Linked DNA regions of Tamandua tetradactyla. The protein of the gene in region 2 interacts with the protein of the main gene of each other region in a pairwise test. Links are inferred from orthologs where the notes say so. Each region holds a gene or a part of one and is shown on either strand. Other genes may lie near its edges.

Region 1 (8,228 bases), on a different chromosome or scaffold from region 2:
AATTAAACCACCTTGTAAAAATGTAGCCACCAAACCCAGCCATCCTACCCCTTTTCTGTTCATTTACTCAACTCCATCCAACTACTGAAATGTATGAATTCTAGTTTGTAACAAATGATCAACTTCATATGCTCACTTTTGTCCTTTATCTCTATTATAACTCAAGGGACATTCCTAAAATAAATATGGGTCATAAAAAGATTTGACCTAATAATACAGGCAACAATTTAATCATTATACGAAAACAAGGTTATTTCCTGGGATCAGAGTTAATCATATAATATCCAAAGACAGCTACTACATGGAAAACTTTGATGTTTTGTCCTAACCAGAGACATTATACTACTCATTTTGCCTACAGTGAAGACCAGTATTAGAGTTCAGTCTAGTTCTTGTTCCTATAAAGTGCGACAATATGTAAAACATTCTTGGACTACACCAGAACTGATAAAGCAACATGAAATAATTGTTCAAGACTGTCAACTCAAGAATGAAGACACAGACACACAGAATTCTCAATTAGTTCCAGAGCCATACTCATGGACTATCACATCTACTCCTCAGGGCCTTTTTCAAACTTCTAATTACATTCTTTATCACAATACCAGTTCTGCAGGTTTATGTGAACAATTTACTAAGTGAAGTGAAATCAAGGCAAACCTGATGGAAAGAACAGAGGCTTCAGGGTCAAAAGATCTGGGTGTGAATCCAGACTTTGCCCCTCAGGAGTATTTACCTTTCTTAGCTTAAGTTTCCTCGTAGGTAAAAATAGGACAAGACCACCAAGATCAAGCACCTCAGTTACTGTTCAGAGTATGGCAGATGCTAATAAAAGATGATATTCGTAAATTACTAAAGCCAGTTCACAAATTATTAAGAAGTATCTCATTATGGAAATCACAGCCATTAAAGCCGTCAATCTTTTCTTTGGCCTTTTCAATCTTTGATTTAAAAAATAAGATATTTTAAATATATACAACTGAAAAACTTAAAGAGGTTAAAAATCTCTTTTTAGAACTGCCATTTTACAAATCAAAGACAAAGTCTCAACAATTAACAGTTAAATGGTTAATTTTTTAAAATTTTAAGGGTGCTTGCTTTCATTCAAACTTCACATGGTCAAAACCTTTAGAACTTCATGAAGAAAGCTATACTTTAGAACACAGATAGAGCCCAGTTGTCTAAACAATGAGCTACATGATACACCACAGACTCCAGGCAAAGTCACAACAGGATGAGAAAAGAGCCTCCAGCCTCTCTCAGATTTCCTGGCCACTGTTATTTTAAAACTTGATCACATAAACATAAACAGGGAAAAATTCCATTTCAGATAAGTCCCAAAGGTTATGATTTAACTACTGTGGAAAGTTTATATATGAACTGTTTGTAATACCTTGCATTAATTTACATTCAACATTGCAATAGCTCACTATAATTTTCGTGCTCGTGTTTCTAGGACTAATGAGAAATAGATGTTACATATATCATTTTATATTACATATGACATAGCATTTTGAATCATGATCTCTTTTTAGAGTCTTTAATAACTTTGATTACTGTCTTATAAAATTAATTTTTAATAACAAAAAATTTAACTTAAAAAGCTGACAAAATAATAAACAGCATGTCAAATAAGAGCATACAAATGTAAGAGCAAATCTGCATAAGATTAAAATGACCTCTTTCTCACTCTACATGTAATTCCTGGGCAACTGAAAATACTCAAAATAAGCTGTATATTAAAAGTCAGTGAGCTATTTTGAATGGCTGCATTGTTTCAAGTTTAGCTACAGCCTACTTTTTAACATTTGTGATGTTTCTAAAATTAAGGATAAAGACAGTAAAGTAATTTCACTGAACAATTTTCAACTAGAAAACTACAACCCAAGACATCTATGAAGTTCAGTTAATTTGTACAGAAATGCTACCTTGCTGCCAACCTTTGTACCATGTTCACTATCAACCCAAGTTCAAGAACCACATTTTATGGCATGAGGATAGTTTCTGCTAAACCTTAAGAATATTAATTTTTAAAATCTCTCAAACCCTGACTGTATTTAGATATACTGAATTTACAACATCAGAGCATAACAGCAAACCAAACAAAGGATTAAGTTTGGTCAGTGTTGCTATTTCCCCACTAATATTTGTAGATTAGCATTTACGCATCCCACCACCACCACCACATATTTTATGCCAAATAAAATGTAACATGTTTTCTGAAGCCGTATAAAAATTTCTGACACGGACGTTCGAGTAATAATTTCATCAAATTACTTCCCATTTAAAATTAAAATCCCAGCATCCTGAGCATCTTGGAGTTTTGGAAATTAAGAAATATAAAAAGCTCTTGTTCAGTCCCATGTACGAAAATTAACAAATTCAAGGTACTGAACCATCTAAAGACTGAAAAAAATACAGCTTCAGAAAGTCCCAGTCTCGTCTCCTACATAATAGAAGCTGATTTTCACGTCCAAGAACAGACAGCATTCTGCCTGCACTGAATTTTAAGTTTACCCCCTAAAAAAGAATCTAGCCAAGTATCCAAGTCAGAGATGTACATCTGAGTGTTCTACCTCTGCCTGGGAGCCAAAGATGAAACACAAAAGTATCTTGGTGATGATAAACCCATGAAAGAAGTATCTTATTGTCTTTCTGTGGAAAGGACAGCCACCTCTGATATCACTGCAAGTCGCCGCAGTCCCGGCACAGCCGCCAGCCCGACCCACCCATCACCTGCTTCGCCCACCTGCGTCCTCGGAAGGTGAAATGAGCCGTCGGTCGCGGGGAGGCCCGAGGAGGCCCCAAAGCAGAGCCGGGAGAAACGAGGTCCCGACGTTTCCGCCCCACCCCCCCAACCGAGACTCCTGCAAACTCACCCGCACGGGTGCGGAGGCAGGTGTGCGGCGGCGGGGTTACCTGTCGCCGGTGAAGCTGGAGGGCGGGAATAAAAGGTGACTAGGGTGGGGGAGGAGGACGGTGACGCGGACGAGCGCTGCGACAGCGCGGCAGCAGCCGGGCTCCTGCTTGCTTCCTGCTGGGACAGATCTCGGATCCGTCTCCGCCCGCGGCCGGCGCCCCACCGAGTCCCCAGCCCGCGCCGCGCACGTCATCGCGACGGAGCGCCCGAAGGGGCGGGGGCGCCGCGGGCCCCGGCCAGCCGAGCGGGGACGCCTCCCGGGAGGGGGCGCTTGGGTCCCAAGCCCGCGCCACCCCGCCCCTCCGCGCACGGCGCCTATCCTCGGGGATTCGGAGAGGGGTGTTCCAGTGCCGCGCGGGGCTACTTGTGGCCGAGCCTAGAGCCTCGTTTCTCTCCCCGAGAAACGTTCATTGTTTCTTTTCCCAAGGAATGTCTGTCCCCTCCGGACTAGATACGGTGACACGCAGTCCGTATCTTGTAGTCTGAGTACAAGAATATGCTCAAGCCGAAGAGAAAGGAGCTGTTCAGAGAGGAGTTGAGGAGCGCAGGGTGCGCGGCCGGCAAGGACTACGCACTGCGCGAGGGCCCCGGGCCCAGGTGTCCGCGCCCGGGCCCGCGGCAGCGCGTCTCTCTTGTGGGAGAGGAAAGAACGACTACGAACGTGCCTCCATTCCCGCTTTGCTTGAGCTGGGCTGCCCAATGAAGGTAGTGACCTTCTTTCCAAACAAACTCGGTTTTATGCTTTTACTGCGGAAGGGTCTGAGATGGAAAGTTTGCATATCTTTTCCCACCCACTCCCACCCCAGCACTTAACTCTTTAGAGCCTGGAGCTTCTCTGTCGTTAGATTTTTACTGTTTCATAAGTGATGTATTTGTGAATCATATTTTAAAATCAAATATGAAAGTAGCTATGCAAATTTTAGTTATATAATGAAAATATCACCTTTAAGATGGAAAGAAGCTTCTTTTAAGAAAATGGAAGGATTATTGACTATAATGCTAAATGTTTAGCTGAAAAAAGCTAGAGCATATACACAGGGAATTATAACTTTTTTCCCCACATTGCCAAGTCTCAACTTAAGGAAATTCTGGAAATTCAGAAGAGACAAGCTTCAGGTATCTAGATACTCCTCAGTTCTCTTGATGGGAAAGCTGTTATGACTAAAACAACTTTTTTAACACTAAAATAGGGAAGTAAGAGAGAGGAAGAGAAACCAAGAAAGGAAATAATTTACCACAATCTCAGAAATTCAATTACATATTACCGGGAGGTAAATCTTAATTGTATAAAACTGGATTTCAAAAGAATTTGAAAGAAGAAAAAGAAGCAAATAAAGATCCCTGTGTTTCACTTCAGTTCTGTGACCTCATTTTTAAAAAATATTTCTTGGGATATTATCACACACATACAGTCCACCCATAGTGTACAATCAGTGGCTCACAATATCATCACGTAGTTGTGTATTAATCACCATGATCATTTTTAAATCATTTGCGTCACTCCAGGAAAATCAATAAAAAGTAAAAACTCAGTGATGATGTTAAGAATTACTGATTGCATATGTAGAATGGTATGATTTCTAAATGTTGGGTTAATTTCTTTTTTTCCGTTAATTAATAAAAAAATAAAAATAAATTAAAAAAAGTAAAAACTCATACATCCCGTACTTCTTTACCCCTCCCTTTTAGTGACCACTAGTATTTCAGTCTACCCAATTTTTTAATCCCTTATCCTCTCCCCTATTTATTTTTTGTCCCTATATTTTCACATCTGTCCATACCTTGGCTAAAAGGAGCATCAGACACAGGTTTTCACAATCACACAGCCCCATTGTAATAGCTACATAGTTATACAATCATCTTCAAGGATTAAGGCTCCTAGAATACAATTCAACAGTTTCAGGTACTTCCCTCCAGCCACTCCAATACACCATAAACCAAAAAGGAATATCTATATAATACATAAGAATACCTCCAGGATAACCTTTAGACTCTGAAATCTCTCAGCCACTAAAACTTTATTTTGTCTCAATTCTCTCTACCCCTTTTGCTCAAGAAGACTCTCTCAATTCCATGTTGTGGATCTTGGCTTATCCCTGGGAGTCAGGTCCAATGTTGCCTGGGAGATTTTTACCCCTGGGAGTCATGTCCCATGCGGAGTGGTAGGCGGTCAGTTCACCTGCCAAGTTTGCTTGGAGAGAGAGTCCACATCTGAGCAACAAAAGATATTCTCTGGGGGTGACTCTTAGGCATAATTATCAGTAGGCTTATCTTCTCCTTTACAGGAATAAGTTTCATAGGGGCAAACCCCAAGATCGAGGGCTCCGCCTGTTGAATTGGTTGTTCCCACTGTTTGCGAGAATATCAGAAGTTCCCCAGATAAGGAAGTTGAATATTTCTTCCTTCCCCCCCATCTATTCTCCCAAGGGGACTTTGAAAATACTTTTTTATTATCTGTCCAGATTTCTCTGGGATGTATCAGGGTATCACACTAACCTGTACAAACCAACAAGATCTCCTGCCCCATTCAAGATTCTCTGTAATTATGGTGTTCAAGTAAACTGACCATACAAGTTAAGTTAGATAATGAGCTACCTAAAATATAAATTTTGTGCCAAATAAACATCACTTCCTTTGGTGAGACCTCATTTTGGATTGAGGATAAAAGGCCTTGGCAGACCAATAGAAAATGATACAACTGACAATTCTTCATGATTAACCAATTTTGGGACCAAAACCTGGGACTTCTCTCCCTCTTTGCCCTCATTTCCAATCAATTATTGAGTCCCTTTCTTTCTAGTTCCATATTATTTCTCGTGTACCCAATTTCTCTTCAAAGACACAACCATTACCTAAATTTCAGGCTATGTTTTAGTTTCTTTGGCTGCTCAAGCAAATAATGCAGTGGTTCAGGAGAAACCAGGAAAATTAACACAGGCCACCATCACATCACAGGTGTTGCCAACTGCCTTGCCCACCTAACCAGTTTCCCAGACTGCAATCTTGTCCCTTTCCAATCCAATCTCCTCGACATCATCAGATTTATCTTTTATAAAATGAAAATTCTATTATCTAGGCATCTATTTAATGTCTTATAATGACACTCTACTGATAAAGTCCAAACTACTTTAGATGGTTTATAAGACCCTTTTTGATTTAGCTTTTGATTAGCTAGAATGGTGAATAGTCTTTTCTTCTAATTTTTTTTTTAATTTTTTTATTAATCAAAAAAAAGAAAAGAAATTAACACAACATTTAGAAATCATTCCATTCTACAAATGCACTCAGTAATTCTTAGTATCATCACATAGATGTATGATCATCATTTCTTAGTACATTTGCATCGATTTAGGAAAAGAACTAGCAAAACAGCAGAAAAAGATATAGAATGTTAATATAGAGAAGAGAATTAAAATAATAATACTAATTATATATATATATATATATATATATATAAAAGGAAAAAGAAAAAAAACAAAAACAAAAGATAGGTCTTTCATAAGAGTTGGGAAATTTTCAGTGATAATTTCTTCCATTAGTTTTTCTCCTCCTTTTCCCTTCTCTTCTCCTTCTGGGACACCCACAACACGTATATTTGTGCGCTTCATATTGTCATTCAGTTCCCTGATCCCCTGCTCAAGTTTTTCCATTCTTTTCCCGATAGTTTCTGTTTCTTTTTGGAATTCAGATGTTCCATCCTCCAGTTCACTAATTGTAGCTTCTGTCTCTTTAGATCTACCATTGTAGGTATCCATTGTTTTTTCCATTTTTTCTTCTTTGTCCTTCACTCCCATAAGTTCTGTGATTTGTTTTTTCAGATTTTCTATTTCTTCTTTTTGTTCAGCCCATGTCTTCTTCATGTCCTCCCTCAATTTATTGATTTGGTTTTTGAAGAGTTTTTCCATTTCTGTTCGTATATTCAGCATTAGTTGTCTCAGCTCCTGTATCTCATTTGAACTATTGGTTTGTTCCTTTGACTGGGCCATATCTTCAATTTTCCGAGCGTCATCCATTATTTTCTGCTGGTGTCTGGGCATTTGATCAGATTTCCCTGGGTGTGGGACCCAGCTGGTTGAAAGGTTTTTCTGTGAAATCTCTGGGCTCTGTTTTTCTTTTCCTGCCCAGTAGGTGGCGCTCGTGGCGCTCGTCTGTCTGCACGGCAGTCGGCCAGGGAAACCGCGCGTGGAGGCGGGGGTCGCTGGCCGCCGCGGCTTGGGAGAGTGCCGGTCCTAATTGCCCAGCTGGCCCGAAATGCCAAGCATGACGGGAGGGCCCCGCTATCCAACGTTTCCAGTCAGACCGGGGAGCCACGTGCGTGGAGGGGACCCCAGTCGCCAGCCACCCCGGCCGGGAAAACGTGCGCCCCTCGGGCATCTCACCGCAGCAGATTCTCCCTGCCCGTTCAGCTGTTCCAGAATGGGGTACGCTGTCTTTTTGGTCTCTGTCGTGACTCCGGGAGCTGTTTGGTATTGTTTCTGTTTCTTTAGTTGCTTTTCTGGAGGAGGAACTAAGACCCGCACGTCTTACTAAGCCGCCATCTTCTCCGGAAGTCTCTTTTCTTCTAATTGAATGTGGATGCCTTGCCATTGGCTTTGTAGATCCCACAGAGCTGTCCTACACCAATCAGACTTCTTCACACAGTACCTGCTTGTCTTTGGAGTCACTTGATTTTGGATTACTATCCTAACCCCACTTACCTGTTCAATCTCATTTCTAGCGTCTGCCTTTCCCCATATGTTGTTTGTTACATTCAAGCTATTCTGAAGTGCCTGCATGTCCCAGCAGAACAGACAGCTATGCTATATATTGCATTGGAACATTGCCCAGCTAAGTCAATTAATCCTTCAGAAGAAAGCACGTGTCCCCCTACCCTCACCCCAAGAAGTTTTCCCTAAACCCTCTTATTCCAAAACCTAGTAGCAATTTGGTGCTCTTTCCCGTCACTCTGATAGCACCCTTTGCAAACAGCTCTTCCAATACTTATTTCACTATGTTACTTCACTTTACTTGTGACCATCCACCAACTGGACAGTAAGCTTCTTGAGGGGAGGGTAGAAGATTTGTCTGTCTTCGTGTCTCTAGTGCCAAGCTGAGTTACTCTGACAGAGTAAGCACTTATTGAACAGTGCCTACCATTATTATTACTACTGACTGAATGGGACAGATGAATGAACAACTAGTAAGAAAGCTGACAATTCTAAGAAACTGCATATACTCCTGTCATTTAATCGTGGTGCTTTTGTGTTGTTTGCTCCCAAAACTCAACCAATTTATTATACATTTATATTTGTAACTTTCTCAGCTTTGA
Region 2 (8,192 bases):
CTTTCCTTTAAAAATATTTTTCAAAATACAAGTCTTTTGCTTAATCTAAAACTAGAGCCCCAGTTTCACACACTGCCATTTAATCAGTAGCTGAGTTCCATTGGCTTCACAGACTTCCATGAGGTCCTTTATCTGGAACTGCTAAAAGCTTCCTCTGTACTTGGTGACCTAATATGTGGCAGAACAATAGAAGTGGGTTTCCTTGTCTAACCACTATCTTATTATTAATTACAAACTACGAGCTTATAGGAATGCCTTCACATACATACACAAGTCAAATCTTTATTTCAAGTCCCTGAAACTTGAGAATCCTACAAAAGACTTAGAAATGTTTTCTACGAGATGATCCCATAACTACAATCTGAAGAAAAGAATTTAACTGTAATCTTAGTTTGGTAATTTAGCTGTGTGTGAAAGTGAACTTTCTCCCTTTATGTAAGCTTCCTCCTGTGACCCAACAAGGCCTTAGTTTACATAAAAACCAGGGTCCTAGCAGAAAAACAGAGTCTCAAGAAAAGAGGGTCCCAGACAAGCCATGAGGGCATCTCAGAACAATAAAGAGAGGTTCCAAAAATATGTTCAACCAAGAAATGCCTTGTTGCCTCATGAGTGAGTGTAAATCCACAGGTTTACATAGCTGCGTTATGACTGAATGTGTAAATATCTTCATCAGCCTCCAAACCTACAAATGATTTTGGATGACAAAGATATCATAAACTTAAGTTTTCTTTTCAGCCTTAAATTTGACAAGCATACTTCTTCTGAAGCACCATTATTAACCAGTTTGAACCTTATGTAAAAATGATAAAGGAGGCAAAAGACCCCAGGCAATGGGTCTATCCTTACTTGGAAATGGATAGCCCCATCTTTGTATGAAGTACAGGCCCCTAGATAATCAAAAGTTTGTTGGTTACGTTTTCAACATTTAACTGCTCTTTTATCTACTACATATATTCAAGAGGGGTTCTCCTTTCTTAACAAGTGAGCTCACTTATCAGGATTGGTCTAACATATCCTGTTCAAGAGCCCAGGAATAATAATCACTTTTGGATGGAAAGACAAACCTCCAAATCAATTCAATTCGGTGTATCTTTTCCACAGACTTTAACTCTAGGCATCTATCATCCATATGCGACACATCTAATCACACACCTTCAAAGGATCAGAATACAAAGGGAAAATCGGCAAAAGTTGCTATAAATTACCAAATGTACTTCATGCTATATGTCAAGATTTGATATTTTTATCTATGGATTAATTTTTTATTGTTTTGTTCTACAATGCCAACAAAATTTAGTTTTTTTATGATTCATAAAAAAAGTAAAAGAATGGTATAAAAAATGTGTAAGAAGTTGATAGGCAGACACAATTCAATAAGTCCTACAAAGGATAGATTTTTCAGAATTCGAAAAATTGATTAATATATTATCTGGAAACTTCCTTAATACCCTTCACATAAATACTCTTTATCTACTAATCTAGTCTAGAGTTTATTTTCAATTTCAATATCAATTTCATTATCTTCCATACATACAGACTTTCATAGCTTCCCAGGTACTTTCTCCTACCTGGGCTGGACTTTACAAATATTTGATCTAAGGCAGTGGCAAAAATTTAGAGCTACATTGTGCAGTGATAACATTTAGTATTCACTAGTAAGGACACTCAATGACATACCTAGAATAGCTTTGAGCAAGAGTAATTATATATAGATTTCATCACAAATCTGTCTGAAAAATAAGACTTTACTGGAAACAGCACTTCCACATTCTGCACGTATCCAATTAACATTATTCTAAAATAACTCTTGATCCCAAGAGTATTCCTAAACACTTAAAAGACTGAAGTGACAAAGTAGAAAAACCACACAACTAGGGTAATCTAAAGACCTGGGTTTTAGGTGTGGCTCCGTCTACAATTTTAGCGGTGTCACCTTGGGTAGGTCATTTGACTCTGTAGACCTCAGTATCTTCAACTGCAAAACGAAGAGACTGGATTAAATTTCCTTTAAGGTTTCTTCTAACTCTAAAATCCTGAGTCCATTAAGTGTCAGTGTATCCCCTTTTCAACGACAAGCAGCAGATGGTAATGGCAAAGTAACCTAGATTTTCCTTTTTAAAAATATTATCTAACTTGGCTTAGCATGCTTTCTTAGGTCGAAATGTGAGTCAGGAAAATAAACCCCAAATGAAAAGGACGTTGAGAAAATGGGGAGAGAAAAAAAAATCGCACACTTACATAGCTAAAATAGTAACTTAAATCACCCTTGCACGAGTTTGTCTAATAGTTATTCAAAGGCTGCTACTCTAATCACCGGCTTCCTAAAATAGAAATATTTACAGTTGAGCTGTTTCCTTCTTATCCCCGGAGACTCGTTTCGAATAAAAAGCATAGCGTCTAAAATCAATTTACAACTTTTGAACAAGTTGCAGGGAGCGAAACTCCGGGCTCTCCAAGTCATTTGCACTTAAGTGTGATTTGGGCTAAGAAATGGTTCTTATTATAAGATGTGAGAAATGCACAGGAGGCAGGTGACATCTGGAAAGGGAAGCAAAACGCCAGCAAGAGAGACGGAGGCTGAAGGGCCTGTAGGCAACAGGTCCAGAGCCGGTACCGCAGCTTCCTCCGGGAGGGGTCGGTCGCTGCCACCCCACCCCCAGGCCCAAAGGCATCGCCTCGCCCCCGCCTCGGCCCTCCAGAGGCAGCCCGCCCCCCAACCCACGCCCCTGCACCAGAAATCTCCCTGATCGCTCCCCGGCCTCCCGCCCCCTCAGGCCCTCGGATCCCGCGACGCGGAGGCCTGCCGCCCTGCTCCTCGGCCACCCCAGTCTCAGCGGCCCCGCAGCCCTGTCCCCGCCGCGGGCCCGCTCACCTGCACCTGTTTGCGGAAGTGGCGCGGCCCCGGCACTGCCGGCGGCCAGAAGCAGCAACAGCGGCGGCAGCAGCAACGCCAGCGGCCCCGGCATCTCGCCCGCGCCGCGGCCTCGGGACCGGTTCTCGGATTGCCTTCCGACCGTCCGACCGTCAATCGGTCCGTCAGTCAATCGGTCCTACCTCCCTCAGCTGCCTCAGCAGCACCCGCGCGGGAGGCTCCGGTGCACACGTTGTTTCGCCCAAACCTCAGCCCGGCTCCTGGTCCGCGCCCACCGCTCGGGCCACAGAAACCTCATCCTTCCCGCCCGCCCGCGTCGCCGCCGCCGCCTCTCAACAGCAGCAACGGCAGCAGCCCTGCGGAGCGGCGGGCCGGGTCAGCCGCGATGCCGTCGCCATGATGGGCTGCGTCATGTGACGTAGAGCGCGGGCGGGATGCCGTGAGAGATGGCCCCGTCAGCCAATCGTCAGTTCCGCAGCGGCCTGGGAAGCCCCGCCCATCACCCCGACGGTTGGAGGGGTGGCCGCCGGGGCGCCCCCTGCAGACCGAGCGGTGAGTGGGCAGCAGGTAATTCCGACAATTATTTTAAATTTAAAAATGCAGAAAAGTATAAAGGAGGCAATAAAAAACATCTATACTCCATCCTGAATTTTTTTCTAAGATTTTATAACGTACCTATAATGGAACTGTCTTGGGCTCATCCCCTTACATTGACCTACACATGCTATCAGCCAAAGAACTTTGGGCTTTTTATTTCAGTTCAGTAAAAACGGAATGCCTCTCCTCTGGTCACCCACTGATTCAGCTCCTTAGCTCAAGTTGTTCCCTCTGCCAAGAATGCCCTTCCTGTCCTCTCTTGTCCACCTGGCAGACACCTTCAAGACTCACCTGATGGAAGGCAACATTCAAGAAGGCCCCTCCCGAATCGGCGGGAGAAGCGACTCCGCCTCCTTTCTGCTATCTGAGCTCCCAGAGAGTATTGTTCTGTCACTGTAAGCTCCCCGAGGGCAGGAACTGTGCCCAGCTCAACTGGGGGTCCCTAGGGTCTGACACAGGGCCTGGCATAGTTTAGGCGTTCTCTAAAGGAATGGAGCCTAGTCCTGACACAGGGAGGTGCGTCAGCTTCCAGGTGCAGCCCTTTGCCCACCAAAAAGGTGAGGAGAGGCCACGGTCCTGCAGAAAAGGTAGAGAAAGCACATTCCAGGCAGAAATAACATAGTGGTCAAAGGCCTGCGGTCGGAAAAATGCTGGGCTTTCCTGGAGAAAACACTTGTGGTTCAGTGGGGCTGTGCACAAGAGGGAATGGTTGAATCTTATCAGACAGGACTTGACCATTGATTGCAAGCAGGGTAACCTCCCCAACTCTCCAAACTCCCCAAATGCCCATCCTCAGTGCCGGCTTTCTAAGGTGTTAACCCAGCGCTGGACACACGCTTAATGCCGAGGGAACAGCTGTTGAATGATTAAGGCAAGCCAATAAACAGCTAAGTAAACAAATGGCTGGAATGTGAAATACTGAGTTAAAGTTGTCCATGGCTGAGTGCTGGGAAAAACAAGGAAGGCAAAAATCTTCAAAAGACACACAATCACCCTGTTATGCTTCTACTTCTATCAGGAAGCTGCAGACTCTGAGTCTGAGGAAGCCAGGGTGTGCTCATGCCATGTTCTGGGAAGAGATTCTGGTTATTTGCAGCTGCGTTGGCCCCAACAAATGCCCTGCCTCATAAACCTTGTGGTTGTTAATTATAATTTAGGTGCAGCCCAACAGCACATCAGACTACAACCCCAAAGTGGGCTTTGTTATTATTTGGTCAAGTCCAGAAGTAAAAAAAGAACTTACTTTTTCACTTCACAGAACAGGGGTTAAGGTACATATTCCTCAGAGCGTGTCTAATAGAAAGAAGTCTTTAACCAACTAGCTACCTCATCACTCAAACTTTTGCTCAATCCTTTTCTTGAAGAGTTCTAGTTAGAGAATTTATTTAAAAAAAACCTCTTTGCTTTATTTCGTTTCACCTAAGAGCCAGAAACAACCCTTGCCACAATTTGGGATTAGATCTCTAAGATTGGAAGCAATATCTTTCAGTGTTCCTACAGCAGTTCTCACATGTGATCAGCCTTTTCCAAAATTTCTGCCATGCCAAACCATCACTTGAAACACCCACCCTACATGCGGTATCTATCCTCTCAGCAAGCTCTGTTGAAGGCGGGATACTGAGGGACCTGGAATCATTTTAGTTCTGGAAGAGATTTCACATATTGAGGTCTGGGGCCCAGTGACCACTCTAAAGGTTTGCAGAGCTGAGCTAGATCAAATGGGCACGTCCACCAGGCTCCTGTCAGTGGTGGTTTGGAACCAGCTTGTACCAGCTTGTGAAAGCCAATTGTTAAATATTCAGGAATTTTGCATGCCATTGTTAAGAATTTAGTTATATACCCCTACACTTAAGTAAATGACATTTTAAAAAAGGTAATAAGTAACAAATATATCACACTTATGCAAGGTGTTAATAATAGGGTAGTATAGGGAAACCCTGTATTTTACGTGTGGTTTATTTTCGGTAAGCCCACAACTTCTTTAAAAATCTTTTCTTAAAAAAGATAATGAGGTGGTACAAGGGTAATTCAGTGGTAGAGTTCTCACCTCCTATGCGGGAGACCTGGGTTTAGTTCCCAGCCCATACACTTCCCAAACAAACAAACAAGCAAACAAACAAATGAAAAACCAAACAAACAAAAATTCAGCAAATGGTGCTGTGATAAGGGGATACTTACATGGAAAAAGAATGAAATGTGACCCCCACCATACAGCATACAAAAAAATAATAATAATAATGAAGAGAAGCCCTTCTAGAATGGAGGAGTAAGGGCCACAGCAAAAGCAATGAGGACACACCAGAATTGTCAAAATCAACTTTTTCAGAACTCTGGAAACTAACAAAAAGTTTGCAACACAAGAAGCATTTATTCAAGAAAAATGGCTGAATCTCAGTAAGAACAGCAAGTGGTGTAGCACTTAACTTGCCCTATTCTCATTCTTCTCTGCCCGCCTCCATGGCAGCTTTGAAAAACCACAGCCTAGCAGTCAACTGAAGGGGACATGTGCCAGTTTGAAAATATTATGAACCCCAGAAAAGCCATGGTTTAATCCTGATCCAATTTTGTGAGGCCAGACCTATTGTTTAGGGTGGGAAACTTTGATTGGATTGCTTCTGTGGAGATATGACAACCAAGTTGTGGGCGTGACCTTTTGATTAGATTACTTCCCTGGAGATGTGGCCCTGCCCATTCAAGGTGGGCCTTGATTAGTTTATTGGAGTCCCTTAAAAGGGGAAACATTTTGGAGAAAACTGAGAGCTGACACAGTCAAAGACACAGGCATCTGAAGATGCTTGGAGAACAAAAGTGACAGAGCAACACAAGACCCAGACGTTTGGAGATGCAGAAAGAAAATGCCCCCAGGGAAACTGTTTGAAACCAGAAGTCAAAGACCCCAGCAGACACCAGCCACGTGCCTTCCCAGCTGTAAGGGGTGTTCTGGAGCCATCAGCCTTTCTTGAGTCAAGGTATCTTTATCTGGATGCCTTGGTTTAGACATTTTTATGGCCATAAACTGTAAACTTGCAACTTAATAAATTTCCTTTATAAAAGCCATTCCATTTCTGATGTGTTGCATTCTGGCAGCTTTATCAAACCAAACAGGACAGAGCAGGGTTGAAACTCACCTAAGAGTTTTATCCCCAGAGGACTGGCCTATTTGACTTTTCTGACAGTTCCCTGGAAAAGTACCATTTTCAGGGCTTATCTGACTTGAGACTAACCCAGAGCTACCTCAACACAACAGCCCTGTCCCCAGTTTGTCAAAAATAGTCAGTGGCAATTGTTCAACATTGCAGCTGCCTCAGCTGCTGTTATCAGTTGACTGATGAAAAACTTAAAAGAAAAATCTGGGGATTGTGATGTCAGTAGGTGGCTCTGAAAAACATATTACCGGAAATCAAGAAAGCCATCTGTATGTGTAGGGGCTGTGCATTTGCCCAGGAAAAAAATTCGAAGGGTCTAATTTCTCATCTCTGACTAACCTTGAGGCTCTGGGAAAATAGGGAATAAAGGCTGAGACATAATTTTCAAATGCCTTAGGATTGAAGGCATGTCTGAACACATAGCCCCTCAGTAAAGCCTGGGAGACTTATTGGTTTGAGACATCTAAGGAAATCTTTATCCAATCATTAGCTGACTACTAAGCTAACTGAATAGAGACGTTAGTGGCCACACAACAAAGAAAACAGACTTCACAGAATTAGTCAGGAAAGTCACTAAACAAATAGCAGTAGCAGTAACAACAAACAGCAACAATAAACCTTTGGTTAGTAACAAGGGAGAGATATATTTCCAGAGTATCCACATTACATGATTTTAAATGTCCAGTTTTCAACAAAAAGAATTACAAGAGGCGGACCGAAAACCTGCCGCCGTTTTAGGGCGGGATGGCGGAACCCTCCGCCCTCACGACGACAGGGCCACACCTAATCCCGCCCTCGGCGCGCCTTGGCCTCCTGCTACTGTACAGCCTAGGCACACAAGTAATTTGAAGCGGATTTTCTCTTTGCAAAGGGGTAAAAGTTGGTGCCTGACTGAAGGATATGCCCAACCATGGAGAAGGTGGCGCAAATAATAAATTGCATGCAATTCACAAATATCCCAATGAGAGGACTAGTGAGCAAAAGTCTTCATAACAGCAGAAACACAAATAAAAGGCATTTCTTACCATCTGTGGAAATTTTCCTGTAATTCCTTTTTTCTTACTCCAGTATTAAGAATTAATACCAAATTTAAAAGATATGAATGAATATCCTAAAAAAAGAAAAAGGAAGACTTTTCACCCTTCTCGTTATTCAGATTCCTCTGGAATAAGCAGAATTGCAGATGGATTCAGTGGAATTTTTTCTGATCATTGTTATAGTGTCTGTTCTATGAGACAGCCAGACTTAAAATATTTTGACAACAAAGATGATGATTCTGATACGGAGGCATCAAATGACTTGCCAAAATTTACAGATGGAATCAAAGCCATAAACAGAAATCAGAGCTACCTGGTTCCCAGTCCTGTTCTTAGAATTCTAGACCACAATTCCTTTTCCACAGAAAAATCTGCAGATATTGAAATATGTGATGAAGAGTGTGACTCTCCTGAATCAGTCAATCAACAAACGCAAGAGGAGAGTCCTGTAGAAGTTCATACTGCCGAAGATGTTCCGATTGTTGCAGAAGTGCATGCAATTTCTGAGGATTATGATATAGAGACAGAGAACAATTCTTC

The links.
Region 1: the proteins of LMTK2 (region 2) and MYO6 interact in a two-hybrid assay, tested with the Homo sapiens proteins (2 studies listed by BioGRID). The link is inferred for Tamandua tetradactyla from reciprocal best matches to the Homo sapiens genes LMTK2 and MYO6.

Annotation. Positions count from the first base shown.
Region 1 is NC_135331.1:131,995,648-132,003,875, reverse strand, and holds the start of MYO6 (unconventional myosin-VI), read right to left. Parts: upstream 3,091-8,228; 5' UTR 2,920-3,090; exon of another isoform or gene 2,880-2,919; intron 2,874-2,879; exon of another isoform or gene 2,750-2,873; intron 1-2,749. UniProt on the Homo sapiens protein: Myosins are actin-based motor molecules with ATPase activity. Unconventional myosins serve in intracellular movements. Myosin 6 is a reverse-direction motor protein that moves towards the minus-end of actin filaments.
Region 2 is NC_135349.1:6,212,264-6,220,455, reverse strand, and holds the start of LMTK2 (serine/threonine-protein kinase LMTK2), read right to left. Parts: upstream 3,248-8,192; 5' UTR 2,967-3,247; coding exon 2,873-2,966; intron 1-2,872. UniProt on the Homo sapiens protein: Phosphorylates PPP1C, phosphorylase b and CFTR.